Linked DNA regions of Saccharomyces cerevisiae S288C. The protein of the gene in region 2 interacts with the protein of the main gene of each other region in a biochemical or structural test. Each region holds a gene or a part of one and is shown on either strand. Other genes may lie near its edges.

Evidence for each region. The genes of interacting proteins can lie anywhere in the genome.
Region 1: the proteins of CNA1 (region 2) and JIP4 form a complex in vitro, tested with the Saccharomyces cerevisiae proteins (one study listed by BioGRID).

What each region holds. Positions count from the first base shown.
Region 1 is NC_001136.10:1,408,495-1,412,094, reverse strand, and holds the start of JIP4 (Jip4p), read left to right. Parts: upstream 1-2,000; coding exon 2,001-3,600. Other genes in the region: YDR476C (uncharacterized protein), read left to right, coding at 968-1,642.
Region 2 is NC_001144.5:1,003,931-1,007,530, reverse strand, and holds CNA1 (calcineurin catalytic subunit A), read left to right. Parts: upstream 1-1,522; coding exon 1,523-3,184; downstream 3,185-3,600. Other genes in the region: ECM30 (Ecm30p), read left to right, coding at 1-110; TSR2 (Tsr2p), read right to left, coding at 536-1,153; IMP dehydrogenase IMD3, read right to left, coding at 3,403-3,600. UniProt on the Saccharomyces cerevisiae protein: Calcium-dependent, calmodulin-stimulated protein phosphatase. This subunit may have a role in the calmodulin activation of calcineurin.

The DNA of each region.
Region 1 (3,600 bases), on a different chromosome or scaffold from region 2:
CCCAAAGCTATGTCTTGGCCCCTATAACGCTACCTGTTGATGTGCCATACTCTTACCAACTTTCTTTTACGTTAAAAATTTCCATCCCCTTCCGCTACGAGAAAAACTGCAGAGGGTAACTATGACATGTACTTTCTAATATGGGCCTATAAGGACTATATACATATGACTAACATTGAGTAAAACCAGGTCTCGAGTCCCATCATCACGCCCATCCTTTTGCATCCACGCCGCCACGCAATTCCTCTTTTTTTGAAGTTACTTGCGTCATGTGGGACATCATATGGGACATCATAGCCTGCAAGATCGAGAGTTAAATATACGACTAAAAGAAATAGTAGCACACTGCCATTTCCAGCTTTTAGTCCCTTGGGGAAGGTTCAGCATTTGATAGCAAATGATTGTACAGTTTATAACCGTATCTAAACGTACGGACATGTTTTTTCCTAGGGCCTCTATTAAAAAAATCTTTGAAATTTCCCTTCAATGCCACCCTTTTTTGCCAGGCATTGGTGGCCATGATTTGTTATGGCTTCCAAGAAAAGGTTTTACTACAGACGCCTTTACTACAGAAGATGCCTCTTCCTATCGTGATTTGCCCTCCAGACAAAAGCCGCGGACATAACGATGGCGGATTGCATTAGACAATGATTGCTATACGGAGGCGAAAGAGATAGCTAGCGACTTCTTAAAGGCGACATTGCTCCGCTACAAACGTGGTGGAGTTTTAACCCTACGAATTCAGTTACAAGGTTGAAGTTAGTGAGCAGCTTCTGTTCTGCCGTTTCTTGCGCAGTCTTGAACTTTCTTGGTCTTGCCATGTGGTCGGGATATTCTGTTCGTTTATAATTACTCCTTGCCACAAAGTGCACACCTATTTGGATATGGTATATATAAAGAGTGGAGGCTTATATCGGCGAGAGCGTGCGTTCTATCAACTCAAGCAAGTATACGGGTATACACAAGTATGTGGGATTCGTTAATTGTAAGCATCAACGATACGCACAAGTTGGGGCTGGAGGATTGTCTCGCCGTTTTTGGCCACGTTCCCATTACCAAGGCCGTCAAGCATGTCAGACTGACAGAGATCGACACGCAGACGTCCACGTTTACGCTCAAGTTCCTTCACACAGAAACGGGTCAGAACATCGAGAAGATTATCTACTTCATTGACAATGACACGGGCAACGATACCCGCACTGCTACCGGAATCAAGCAAATCTTCAACAAGATGTTCCGCATCGCTGCGGAGAAGAGGAAGCTGTCGCTCATCCAGATCGACACTGTTGAGTACCCCTGCACTCTAGTAGACTTGTTGATCCTGGTAGGCGTGGCGCTACCGCCATTGTGCTACCTCTATCGTCCTGCACTGCACGCTATCTTTTTCCTGGTCCCTAATCCTGTGGGCTCCACCTTAGAGGCGTGGCTGGATAGTGATCTTGTGCTGCGACTCATCATTGTTGCCGAGTTCCTGACTCACGCCCTCGAGACGCTCATTTTCGTCGTCCCTAGGCTCAAGTACTACCGTGTTCCTGGCGAGTTCGTGCCCGAGTGGCTTCTTCTAGGTCTCCTCGAAGGTTACGGTCCTGCGAGACGTCTAGATACTAAGGCTCGCACTCTTGGCGAAGGGTCAGTTAATTAGTCCGAGGCCTTTTTTCATTTTGTCTCCCTATCCGACTGGAAAAGTTCTAGCGAAAAGTGCAGCAGACGCTGCAGCAACAGGAACAATTTCCGAATGACCCACCTGCGGTGGTGTGGCACACGCATTCTGCATGTCTCAATAACCTCTAGAATTATCTATATACTTTTTAGTAAACACAACTTAAAACCCTTTTGTCTTTTCCAACATATTTTGCATATAATTTTTGTAAAGGTTTTTTTCTTCTCTTGAGTCCACTCACTATTCGAAAGCAATATCAACAAATAGAAGCTTTCTTCTATTTTTAAGGGAAGGAATCTTTAAAGTACAAGGAACAGAAGATACTAAAACATAGGGGGAAATGGTGGTACGAGATCAAGATGAGGCGTTGAGAAATTCTTATAAATATGTTAAGCTGTATGTCAGGCAGGACCAGCTGGAGGATACGGTGGACATACTCGCTAAGCAGGACGAGGACAAGTCCAACAATGATGACAGGCGCAGTCTAGCCTCGATATTGGACTCGAGCAGTTCCGTCAAAAAGAAGGGGAAAGGCAGCAACGAAAAGTACCTACCATGCGTATCTTTCAACACAGTTCCCAGATCAAGGGTATCTTCGCCCTTAGATGAAGAGAAAAGAGAATTTCCTGGCGTGCAGATCTCTGCAGATTATACAATGGAGGAATATTATGACGACGAAAGTGGCTTTACCTCGGACAACAATGCCGACTACTTCTCCGGGAATAGCTATTCGAGTAGGCGAGAGGGCAGTGCTAGTCCCGGCAGGTATTCTTCTCCACCTCCTGCCTCTAAAAGAAACATCAAAATAGGTAAGATGTTTAAGATTTCTGAAAATGGTAAAATTGTAAGGGAAGACTATCCTACTACACCCACCGATATCAATGACGCTCTTGTGATTAGTAGGGCGTATGCCAATTGGAGACAACTATGGATCAAGAAGAAAAATCAGATAGATCATCGATTAGAACAAAAGCGCGATTTCTTCAATTACCCAACAATACTGTTTCCTCCAAACAAAAAAAAGTCGTCTGAGGGCGCTACTCCCACAATAAAATTCAATCCTCCCATAGAAGACGGCTTTACGCCTTTGACTAAGTCTCAAAAGCGGAAAGAGCGTGTTTTGAGCGAAAAGGTTGGGTTCCCGAACACTCCTCGAACGATATTGTGCCACATCAGCGGCAGGAAACATACTTGGGTAGCACTAGATTGGGCGCTACGAACTTTGATTCAAAATACAGACCACATTGTTGTGTTGGCAAACCTGCCCCGCCTGACTAAGAATAATTTCGAAGACAATGATTCGATGAGTGAGCGAAAAAGAATGCTAATGATGATGGATGATAGCAGGAGTGTTAGCTCAGCAAGAAGATCACGATCCAGATCGAGATCACGATCCATATGTACAAGAAGGGCACTTTCTCTGGGGCCTGAGGAATCTGACAACAAATTAAAGCACCAAAATTTTATCGAGTGGACATCTGGTTATACGCAGAACGAAATAGAACGTAAATTGCAAGATCTTTTTGATTATGTTACACTCATAATTCCGCAAGATCGTTCTGTCAAGGTCACTGTCGAGATCCTAATTGGCAAGACTAAAAAAACGCTTCTTGAGGCAATAAACATCTATTTACCTGATTTCTTTGTATCTAGCACTTTGAGGTGGGAGAGAACAGACAGCTTAGTTCGTTGGAAATCGAACTTTCTGACAGATAAACTGTGTACTAATTTTCCGATTCCAACGTTTATTGTACCGGCAAAGAGAATGTTCGATTTGGAAATAGATTTGCAAAAAGAGTTTAAAGAACCGGAGGTAACGAAACAAAAAAATACTAGCGGTCCAAAGCCTGGGTTCAGCCATTCTAAATCAGCAGATGCTAGCATTCCAACTATCTCAAATATCAAACGGAAGCAAGATAACGATTATTCTATAGATTCAC
Region 2 (3,600 bases):
CTTTTTTCAAGAAATTTAAATTCATTAATAGCGATAATGACAATTATAATAATAACGAATTTGATGATAATACACAGTTAAGATATACCTCTAGAGGGTTGTATAGATAGACACAAATTTTGACAATCACAAAGAAGAAAAAAGAAACTATTTACATATTTAAACATCTACCTCATGATTATTTATGTACGAAAATTTATAATTTAGTATAATTTAGTATTTTTTGCTTCTTATACTTAGCTTTAACTTAGCTGAACGATTAGACCTTAGCAAACACAAAATATAAAAATATGAAACATAAAAAATACACATGTTGAAGAAAAGTAAAAATCTTCACGTAGCGATGCATTGCCCACCTTTTAAATCTATATTGAAGATCTCCTCTAGAAGTCCAATGTTTAATACGTAACTTTCTTGATATATATTACATATTTTGGATAACTCCACCGAGATTTATCTAATTTTGTTGCTATTTCTTACTGGAAGTGCAAAAAAGCAGCGCACTATCAATTATAATATACAGATTTTGAAGATACTAGTGCTTTCTTCTTCCTTTTGGTTGAACCAATTCAAAACCGTCTTCGTCAACAATTGGTTCAGGTTTAGACGATACTAAGTCAGGTACAACCTCGTCCATCTCTTCATCTTCATCTTCGTCATCATAGTCCTCTACATCTTCATCGTCTTCATCATCATCACCCTCAATATGCACAACTCTTTTTGATTTTTTAGTTCTCTGCTTTTCTTGCCATTCCAAATACAATTTTTCTACCTTATTATAATTTAAATTGAAACAGTCGTTATATATGTTGATGACCTCCACGGCAATCGGTAAAGCCGAGTCGTCTTCAACATTAGTTTCAAATTCATCTATCATTGCATAAAGTAACGTTTCTTCGATTAAAGCGGCGTCAACAACTTTTTCATTTTTGAAAAGGTCTACTACAATCCCTGTAATCCAGTCTCTCTTCTCAGCTGAGTCTGGACCACCCCAACTGTTTTCTACGGCAACATCCAACGCATCCCACTTATAAATAACCATGGAAACACCGAGCTCAAAACGTGCCTGTTGCTTTTCGTCAGAGAACATTAGATTGGTTTTACCTTGCTCAGCCTGAACAAATGCTGTCTCATCAATATATTGTGTGCTCATTGTTCCGTAAGGATTATCACTATAAAAATTTTTCGCAGATTTCTTTGGACTCCACCTTTCTTCCTGTTGCAATAAATACAAACTGTTTGAATCATTTTGATATTCATCTATATCTATTTCAAAATTTTTCATGTCATCGCCTCTTGAAACATGAATTTTCCAATTCTGAAAAAGAACGTACTACTGGGAAACAAAAGGGAAAAATGTATAAATCCTTTAATGTTTTTGAATCAAGAGGCATTATTATAAAAGAACGAAGCAAAGCCTTTAATATTTGCTTTATTAAAGGTATTATTCAAAGAAAAGTTTTTTTAGATTCTTTTTTTTTTGACGTATTAGCTCAGCTGCCATAAAACACTCTCAACGCCAATGTCGAAAGACTTGAATTCTTCACGCATCAAAATCATTAAACCTAATGACTCTTACATAAAGGTTGACCGGAAAAAAGATTTAACAAAATACGAATTAGAAAACGGTAAAGTAATTTCTACTAAGGACCGACCTATCGCTTCTGTACCTGCCATAACAGGAAAGATACCAAGTGATGAGGAAGTATTCGACTCCAAGACGGGATTACCTAATCATTCCTTTTTAAGAGAGCATTTCTTTCATGAGGGTCGACTTTCTAAGGAACAGGCCATAAAAATCTTAAATATGTCAACTGTAGCATTGAGTAAAGAACCCAATCTACTAAAACTCAAAGCGCCAATTACTATATGTGGTGATATTCACGGGCAGTATTATGATTTATTGAAACTGTTTGAAGTTGGCGGTGACCCCGCCGAAATCGACTATTTATTCTTGGGGGATTATGTTGATAGAGGTGCATTCTCTTTTGAGTGTCTGATTTATTTGTACTCCTTGAAGTTGAATAATTTAGGGAGATTTTGGATGCTAAGAGGTAACCATGAGTGTAAGCACTTGACCTCTTATTTTACTTTTAAGAATGAGATGTTGCACAAATACGATATGGAAGTTTACGATGCTTGCTGCAGATCATTCAATGTCTTACCATTAGCAGCTTTAATGAACGGACAATATTTTTGTGTGCATGGTGGTATCTCTCCAGAGTTAAAATCAGTAGAGGATGTTAATAAAATTAATAGATTTCGAGAAATCCCATCTCGTGGTCTCATGTGTGACCTACTATGGGCCGATCCTGTCGAAAATTATGATGATGCAAGAGATGGTAGCGAATTTGATCAGAGCGAGGATGAATTCGTACCTAACAGTTTGAGGGGTTGCTCTTTCGCCTTCACTTTTAAAGCATCATGCAAGTTTTTGAAGGCAAATGGTTTGTTATCTATTATTAGAGCACACGAAGCACAGGATGCTGGGTACAGAATGTATAAAAACAATAAAGTAACAGGCTTCCCGAGCTTAATAACCATGTTCAGTGCGCCAAACTACCTGGACACATATCATAATAAAGCTGCTGTGTTAAAATATGAAGAAAACGTCATGAACATCAGGCAGTTTCACATGTCTCCGCACCCTTACTGGTTGCCTGATTTTATGGATGTTTTCACCTGGTCACTACCTTTTGTTGGCGAAAAAGTTACTAGCATGTTAGTGTCTATATTAAACATATGTAGTGAGCAGGAACTTGACCCAGAATCGGAACCCAAAGCTGCGGAGGAGACTGTAAAGGCAAGAGCAAACGCAACTAAGGAGACCGGCACCCCATCTGATGAAAAGGCGTCATCAGCGATATTAGAAGATGAAACCCGAAGAAAGGCTTTGAGAAATAAGATATTAGCTATTGCTAAAGTTTCAAGAATGTTTTCGGTGCTAAGAGAAGAGAGCGAAAAAGTGGAATATTTGAAAACTATGAATGCCGGTGTCTTACCTCGTGGTGCTCTAGCTCGTGGGACTGAAGGTTTGAATGAAACGCTAAGCACTTTTGAAAAGGCTAGAAAGGAAGACCTTATTAATGAAAAATTACCACCATCTTTATCGGAGGTTGAACAAGAGAAGATTAAATACTACGAAAAAATATTAAAGGGAGCGGAGAAAAAGCCACAACTGTGATAAATCTCATTTTATTCTTTTTTATTCCTATGAGATGCAACATCGAATTCTTGTGCTACTGTCACGATCCGCAAGAGATAATATGAACTAACAAAATACGAAGAAAATATAGATCATTTCCAGTCTATTTCTTGATTTCCATACTTAACTGCGAGCAGAATAAATATAAACACATATTTTTTAGTTTTATTTTATTATTAATGAACCCTAGTTACCAATTAGTTATGTAAACGCTTTTCGTAAGAATGTAAGTTATGAACACCACCTTCTAGTTGAGCAGAAGCGGTTCTAAATTCAAATCTAACTTTACCGCTTTGGACATTTTCCTTTAATAAAGTTAGGGACTTGTAACCAATGTCTTGACAAGAATGTTGTAAACCGTTGTACAAATATGGAATAAATTTCTTGATAGAACC